Linked DNA regions of Neurospora crassa OR74A. The protein of the gene in region 1 purifies or fractionates together with the protein of each later gene. This does not show direct contact. Links are inferred from orthologs where the notes say so. Each region holds a gene or a part of one and is shown in the gene's direction. Other genes may lie near its edges. The genes, in order: crf6-1 and ckb-1.

Region 1 (4,584 bases):
GGAGTACTTGTATGGCCGACGACATCAAGCTTGATCATGACGCTCGGTAGGAGGATGTGCATAGTTACCTAGTTAGGGTTGACAACTAGAAGCGCTCGGACTCCTCCCACAACCGTATCGTTTAAGGAAATCACTCGCAGCATCACGGATGCCGTCAACGATCACGATGCAGAGAGGCGCAGGGTTACTGACATCAAACCGGACTTCCGAACAGAGCTCTGGCTGCCTGTCGACATATGTTTCCTGCGCCCCGGCCGGGCAGTGACTCACAACCAATCTACTCTGATAGCAGTCTATTCCACATGTTGTCGAGGCAGAAATGACATCGGCATCAAGACGTTGAAGATAGTTGCCGACAGAGGTCAATGTTGGCAGTCAAGGAAGGCTGGTGGCCCCAGCAGCACGGGATCGTGTGGATCCATCGTCCTGGACGGATCTGCTCCAGCTGCGCCAGGGAAGCGGTGCCTCTACCATACCCACTTGGACATACTCATAATCTGAAGGGAGTTTAGGACTGGTATTTCTTTGGTCGGATAGGCATGAGACGAGGATAAAATCTTTGATTAGGTATATCTGTTTCTCTTTGACACTTTTGGAGGCTCTCGGATTACGTTTGTGGAATGGGTTAAATAGAGGTGGCCCCGCACAATCACCTACAAGATGTTGTCGTCCTGACTGCCTGCCTGGGTTTGCCTGCGTCGGCTCGCAGTAGGTTCTCTTCGAGCCGGAGCTCCAGTGGCGGGAAATCATCCAAATCACCTTGGTGCCGGTGCTCGCGGTGTACCAAGTTGAAGTGAAGCACCAGGAGAGACCAGTGCATGGCTGGCACCTGCACCGGAGCTGACAAAGAAAACCCCTTCGACGCCAGCATGCCTACCTAGAAAAACCGGGCGACGTCCACGTACCGGGAGTATTCTCAGCTTGTCGTCCATCTTCCATCTTTCCCACCTTGTTGATTCCCAAGTCGCACCGGTACACAGTCGATGTGCCATCAACCGACAACAACACTTCTCTGAATCATTTGTTGTTATATCAACCACATTCCATCCTTGAACTTCTTCCAGTGTTGTATAACCTGATAGCTGAGCGGTCATAACCATACATACCTCCAAGCAATTGAATCGGGAATCGCCCGCTCTCGCCTGCCTCACACCGCCCACGCCGTCTGGAAGGGTACGATCGGAGTGGGCAACCAACGAGCTGGCAAGCTCCAGCAATGATATCCGACCAGGCTCGAGCCGCGTTGGGTTTGTGTCCTGTTATTCGTTCTTTCCAAACCCAAACTTACAAGAAACATTGATCTTACAGATCTTCGTCACACAACTGAAATTCGTGCGTTGTGAGCAAAACGGGCAAGGATCGTGACAGCGCCCATCGGACTGGATTAGGCAAGTGTGCTTCCTCCTGGCGCTACCATCCAGTGAAAGAGAACATCATTGAAGTGGTCAGATCACAAGACACGCGTTACATTTCGGTTTCGGTAATTACGGAGCTGGAACCTTTATGTGGCGGTCCCACACTTGAGTTCGGAGGTTGCTTCCAACGAAACTGACCAATCAGAAAGTGGGACTGAGCAAGCATTGAGTTGAGGGCAAGCGGGCCTCGTCTGAAGCACAAGCCAGGCAGTGGCCCACTGGTGTTGCTGGTTCTGGTTCACCATTTTCATGGATTCTTCTCCTCCGTCCATCACTGCGATTTTCCGCTACACCATCACCACTGCCAGCCCCCTCCCAGGGTCTCCGGCCTTGACCATTTCCCCCACCACCACTCCTCCCACGGCACCGCGATTGTGAATCTCGGGCTTGAAGATTCACTCTGCAGTCTGCTGCCTGGAGGCTCTTAATTCTTCCATGACTTGTGAGTCCAGCCACTGCCGCCCACTGCCCACTGCCCACTGCCCACTGCGTGCCCTGCCCTGCGTATTCGCCTTGCATTTTCCCCATCATTTCGCCCATCGAAGCGGGCCTCGTCGCCCTTGATATCCATCGTCTACCAGCTTGTAGAGGTCGCCAGACCGTCGATTCTTGATGAATATCGCCTCTACAGCTGCCCTAGACCATGGCCTGCTCTCCCGTGCCCTCAGGGCGCCCACACGCGACTGCAATCGCCGTCGCCGTCCGCCTCATCATCCACAGCCTTGCCTCCATCACTTACACGCGAGCCAATGCGACAATCATCATTGAGGGTCGTCCGCTACCCCGATACCGGATTTCTCTGATGATTCCGGGTCGCAAGAGTGGCCTCTTTCCATCGCCCCAAGTAGTGATTCGTAAATGACGCGTACCGCTGGCTGACATCGTCGTCTTACAGCAGGCAGCCTCCGCGTCTAAGTCTCAAAATGTCGACATCTCCCGAATCCGGTCCGGTGTTCGGGCATGTGTCACCGCCGGCGGATGACAGCCACTTCAACTTTACCAACGATACCGAAAGCACGAGCGACCTTTCAGACGTTAATGCCGCCGAGGCCGACCCAAATGACGACGCCGACGCCCAGTCGTATCAGCCTGCCGACGAGGCTGTCTCGCCGATACAAAAACCCGAGTTGACGTTCGAGGAAGCGTCCGATTCAGCAAGTGATAACGACGCGTCAGATGACGGAGACTTTGACGCCCCCGATAGCCCCAGGTCTGCTCAGAGCAACGAAGTCGTGTCTGCCTCGTCGTCCCGTACCGTCGTGAAGCGCAAAGTCGCCCACGCGACCGAGGATGATTACATCAGAGAGAATCCTGCCCTGTATGGGTTGAGGAGGAGTGTACGAATATCCCGCATTCTTGTTGTGTTATACCATGCTAACGACCTACAACAGTCACGCCCTACACAACGCCGTGCGCAGATCGTAAGTGGATCAAGATGAGCTCTCGTCGTTACGCCTCTCCTAACTGAGTAAACAGATCGACTCAGATGAAGAAGATGAACCATCCGAATCGGATGCCACACCGGTGTCTAGAAAGCCTGCGAAGAGACGTCGGGTTGAACGCTCGTTGCCTGGTAAGTTTTCATCCGTCATACTCCTCGGCATTTTGTTTCACTGCTGACTTGTCGTGATTTCCAGCTTCCAAGCGTGGCACTCCTGCTCGCCAACCCTCAATCGATGATTCCGACTCGGACACATATGGAGGCGCCAAAGCCCGCAGCTTCCAAAGAAAGGTCCGCAGGCAACAAGAACAGGACCCTGCCTTGGCTTTTAGCGAAAAGAGATGGTCTAGCCGTCGGGCCGCCCAGGTCTCAGCCGGTGCCTACCAAGAAAGTGACGCCGAAGAAGATGAAGAGGACGACTCCGAGCTTACCCCCAACTACTGGTCTGCCAATGTCGAGGATAACTCGCCATACATCGAGAAAATCCTCGGTCATCGTCCTAAGGAGGGTGTCGAGGTCACGGTGGATTCTACGCGACACGACTTTGAATACTTCATCAAGTGGCAGGGACAATCATATCCCCACAACACCTGGGAAACTACGGAAACTGTCGCAGGCTTCCGAGGCTTTCGCCGCCTCGAAAACTATTACAAGAAGGTTGTTGAGTACGAACTGGAGATGCAATTCGGTGGCGACGATATCAGTCCGGAGCAGAAAGAGCAGTGGTACCTGGATAGAGAACGTGAGCAAGAGGCCCTCGAAGACTACACAAAGGTCGAGCGCGTTGTGGCTGTCAGAGACGGTGATGAGGGCACCGAGTATTACATCAAGTGGAAGGGCCTGCAATACGACGAGTGCACCTGGGAAGCCGAGTCTCTCGTGGCCGAACTTGCTCAGGACAAGATTAACCAGTTCCTCGACCGATGCAACCGGTCATGGCAGTCTGACCGCAAGCAAACTAACCCCGATACCCGGTCGAGGATGACCAAACTGGAGAAGCAGCCTGACTATATCAAGGGCGGCGAGCTTCGCGAGTTCCAAATGAAAGGCCTTAACTTCCTTGCTCTCAACTGGGTAAGGGGCAACAACGTCATCTTAGCCGATGAAATGGGTCTGGGAAAGACTGTCCAAAGCGTCTCGTTCCTCAGCTGGTTACGGAATGAACGCGGCCAGGAAGGACCGTTCCTTGTCGTCGCTCCTCTTAGCGTCATCCCCGCTTGGTGCGATACATTTAATCATTGGGCTCCGGATCTCAATTACGTCGTTTACCTGGGCCCGGAGGCAGCTCGGTCCAACATTCGAGATTACGAACTTTTTGTGGATGGTAACCCAAAGAAGACCAAGTTCAATGTCTTAGTCACTTCCTATGACTACATCTTGGCCGATGCGGATCATCTCAAGAACATCAAATGGCAAGTTCTCGCTGTTGACGAGGCCCACCGTCTCAAGAACCGAGAGTCACAGCTCTACATCAAGCTCAACAACTTCGGCGTTCCTTGCAAGGTCCTCATTACCGGCACACCCATTCAGAACAATCTGGCCGAACTCTCAGCCCTCCTCGACTTCCTTAACCCCGGAAAGGTCGTCATTGATGAGGAGCTTGAAGCGTTGTCTACCGCAGATAACAAAGGTCCCACTGATGAAGAACAGGATGAGGCTAGGCGTATCAGGACCCAAGAGAAGCTCCGCGAGTTGCATCAGTCAATCGCTCCTTTCATTTTGCGTCGC
Region 2 (4,047 bases), on another chromosome or scaffold:
AGATTATATACGTAGAGTATCGGAATATAACTTTATAAATCCGGAGGTTTATAAACTATATAATTTTAAAGGTAATTAAGGATTGTCCGCCTAACCCATTAACCCCATATTTATCAACCGTAACCAGTATAATAACTACTATATATTCTCTTATAATAAACCGCCCTACCGGGTAATATAGTAAAATACTTAGAGAAGGGGGAGGGCGCTAATATTTATATTTCGCTACTATAGTAAAAGTAAAGGAGGAGGAGGTATTTAACGAGCGGTAACGTAGGAGTTAATAGGAGAGGGCCTTACGCGGGTAGATTTAGAAGTATTTATTTAGAACTTTATAGAAAGTATTATATTATAGCAAATATTAATATTAAAAATACCGCTAGCTCCCTTACCTTCGCTTTTTTACCCCCCAACTCCCTTATAGAGAACTCTAACACCCTCTCTATCTCCTTATCCCTAAGTTTAATAATAGCCGCTAATTTAGTAATAGCCATCTTATAACTATATACTAACTCCTACCGGCCCTAATTAATTCAATTATAAATTATTAGCTTCTATTAAATAGCTGCCTTAATACTAGGATAGTCCGCCACCTTCTAACTAATAATAAGGGGAGGGATAGGTTATACTAGCAATATAGTATAAGCGAATTCCAGCCCCTATAGCACTACCTCTAATATTTCTAGTATATTTATAGGGATATAATATAGGGGTTCTCCAATACTCTAGGTAGTACTTTGGATAGTATTTATACAACGGGTATTAAAATTAGGGTAGGCACGTACACTCTAACTCTAGGCAATAAGTATAGTATTAGAACTAGCAAAGAGGACAGTAGTATTACTAGCAACTATAGTATTAACCGCCTTAGTAGTAGATTATTAGGATAATTAACTAGATTAACGATTTTTGAATACCCTTATATAAAAAAGAATAACGTAAAAGACGTAGATCTAGTAATGCGCGGGCATCGGTTACGTGGCCTCTATTGTATGTGTGTACTGGCTGGGCGGCTGGGCGGCTGGCTGGGCTTACTCAGCGAAAGTATGTGGGGGGGACTAGCCAGGGACCAGTTTGGGTCTAGCCAGCTACCTTTTGCGTTCATCAACCATCACCAAATGGACCCTTTACTTATCTTGGTTCCACCTGATAAAGTAGACGGTTGGGTTCCGACGCGCTGCCGCACGCGCATGTGGCAGGGCTCAGCAGGGTTATGTGAGAAGGCGCAAAAATCAGGCATCATACTACCGTGGGGCTGGGCGCGGGGCTGCTCCCTGCGGGAAGGGTTGAACGAGGAGGATTGGGAAGGGCCCAGACTGAAAAGACGGGGCGCGCCGCACAGACCAGACACCCACGAGTGGGCTGTAGCACGAAATGAGGGCGCGGGCTTCTTCTCGAGCAACCCCAAAAGGCAAACAGACTGAGCCATCGAGTCGACGGCCTCCGTTAGCGCAAACTCCAAAAACAGCACAGGAAGGGAACCACCAACCACCTCCTTCGCTGCAACACCACGTAGACAATCATTGAAGCGCCTAGCTATTCTGTCTGTCCTTTCGTCCATCTATTTGCGCCATCTCATGCGCTCGGTCATGTCTACGCAATAAACAATTGAACCCTTCCATCCAGCATCGCAGATGAGCGTCGACCCCAAGGGACACTAGCTATACCCAGTCGTCGTCTTGCGCCTTTCGATCGCACTCATCAGATAACGTCCGATAGCGGTACCAACAGCCTCATCGAACGCCTACTCCGTCGCCAAACACTCGAATCGTTTCGCGTCGCTTCCATATCCAATTCCACCATGTCGAGCTCGTCGGGCGTTCCAGAGTCATGGATCGCATCTTTCTGCTCCCTCCTGGGACACGAGTATTTTGCCGAAGTGTCAGAAGAATTCATCGAAGATGACTTCAACCTTACTGGCCTGCAGACCCAGGTCGCCATGTACAAGGAGGCTCTCGAGGTATGCTTGTTCTGGAACCTTTTTGTCCGTTACGTCAGCAGCTAATCATTGTGGTTTTAACCTGACTAGATGATCCTTGATGTCGAGCCCGAGGACGATGATGACGAGGAGGAGGAGGACGAGGAGGACGAGGAAGACATGTCCGGTGGCGACGGCATCAACAAGCCCCACGGCGAAAGGAGACATCACAGCCGCATCGCGAGCGATCTTTCTGTGATCGAGTCCTCGGCCGAGATGCTGTACGGTCTGATCCATCAGCGCTTCATCTGCTCGCGGGCGGGTATCCAGCAAATGTCGGAAAAATACGAGCTCGGTCACTTCGGCATCTGCCCACGCACAAACTGCAACCAGACCCGCACGCTGCCCGTCGGCCTCTCGGACACGCCCGGCGAAGACACGGTTAAGCTGTTCTGCCCGTCTTGCTTGGACGTCTACGTACCGCCAAACAGCCGCTTCCAGACGGTGGACGGCGCCTTCTTCGGCCGCACCTTTGGCGCGCTCTTCCTCATGACCTTCCCCGAATACGACTTGACCAAGACCGGCGCTGAGAGCGTTAGCAATCTCACACGATCCGGCTCTGACGACACCACCGTCATTAACGGCATGTACGCGCGCAACATAGCGCCGGGGCTGGGCAGGGGCAAGATTTACCAGCCCAAGATCTACGGGTTCAAGGTGTCAGAAATCGCGCGTTCCGGGCCACGCATGCAGTGGTTGCGCAGCAAGCCTGACGACTTGAGCGTGCTGGACGAGGCTCGTCGCTATGCGGAACAACAAGGGTCGGATGACGAGGACGAGAGCATGGGTGTGAGCAGCAGGACAGCTTCGAGGCGGCGGGGGCCTCCTAGGAGGCAAAAGCAGAACGGGAGTCCGATGGCGATCGAACAGAATGGGGCTGAGTCGGAGCTTTGAGGTCGAAGTTGTAGGCTGGAACTTGGGTTTAAATGGATATTGAAAGGGGAGGATCAGGTTTTGTAGGTAAGGAGTAAGGAATTGTGTGCGCAAGCATCTGGACAACGGACTGTTGATCACTTCTTTTTTACATCTTCCTCTAAACCTGGCATTGATTTGTATCACACGCACAAATATCCTTTGGGCTTTCTTTCTGATTCTCTACGTCATGGCGGGGGAATGGACGGACGGGTTCAGGAATCGGTTACAGTAGCTTGCAAGAGCGCTTTTTGGTTGGGTTGGGGTTCTTCTTTTTTCTTTTCCTTTTTCTATATCAAGGTTGATTTTCTCTTACACAGCGAACTCGGACGTAAATTCGCATTCCAATGATGATTGCATGCCGGTTATAGACGATGAGAGGAGGACGCAATATTGTTCGTTCCTCTTGTGGTTTACCCGTCAGTTCGCAACGCAGTTTTAAATTAAATCATCTTGGTTTTTCCACTTCACTACCACCCCCTACGCGGAGGAACCCCTTCTGACCATGGTAGCTACATTCCAAGATAGGTATTTTTGTTGCTGGCAAATATGGGTCCGTCATAAGCCGGTCATACGGGAAGACTCTGTCAGTAACATGACCATCGGATTACTCCATCCTTTTATCTATGACCTTTTTTGTTTCTTCCTTTTTTTCATTTTCTTTTTCTCTTCCAACTCCCCCCCCCCCCCCCCCCCCCCCGACCTACAATTCTTGTCTTTCTTCAACAGTCTTGTTGACTATTCTCTCGATGCCATACTGTCATGCTGACTCACGCAGATCTTAGCCTGTCTTCTTCCTATACTGCGGCTACCGAATTTTGGGATGTGAATTTACAAAATACCTACCAATCAGGAAAATGGGTTCACATCTCACAAGCGTATGTTACCAATCTCATCAGCCTGATGCAAAGAACGACCGACGACGAATATACAAGCTATATTAGTATTGACAGAAGAAGACAAAGTAAACAGATTGTGATTGTTGTTGAAGACAGAGATGGATATGCCAATTTATTCGAGGAGTGACAGATACTCAAGTTGCTATGTACCTTGCCCGAATCTTCGGGCCCGGCTCCTGCCTCTCCGTAACGACGTGAAAAAAAAGATTGTGATATTAGACTTTGGGACATCTAATGTTACTGCTACTGTATACGAGT

The links.
Region 2: the proteins of crf6-1 (region 1) and ckb-1 purify together in Saccharomyces cerevisiae (affinity purification with mass spectrometry, with the first as the bait; 5 studies listed by BioGRID). This does not show direct contact. The link is inferred for Neurospora crassa OR74A from reciprocal best matches to the Saccharomyces cerevisiae genes CHD1 and CKB1.

The regions. Positions count from the first base shown.
Region 1 is NC_026501.1:4,381,245-4,385,828, reverse strand, and holds the start of crf6-1 (chromodomain helicase, variant), read left to right. Parts: upstream 1-1,689; 5' UTR 1,690-1,857; intron 1,858-1,987; exon of another isoform or gene 1,988-2,310; 5' UTR 2,311-2,338; coding exon 2,339-2,752; intron 2,753-2,806; coding exon 2,807-2,836; intron 2,837-2,891; coding exon 2,892-2,988; intron 2,989-3,052; coding exon 3,053-4,584. UniProt on the Saccharomyces cerevisiae protein: ATP-dependent chromatin-remodeling factor which functions as substrate recognition component of the transcription regulatory histone acetylation (HAT) complexes SAGA and SLIK. It recognizes H3K4me.
Region 2 is NC_026506.1:1,759,342-1,763,388, forward strand, and holds ckb-1 (casein kinase II regulatory subunit), read left to right. Parts: upstream 1-1,368; 5' UTR 1,369-1,801; coding exon 1,802-1,960; intron 1,961-2,029; coding exon 2,030-2,872; 3' UTR 2,873-3,414; downstream 3,415-4,047. UniProt on the Saccharomyces cerevisiae protein: Regulatory subunit of casein kinase II/CK2.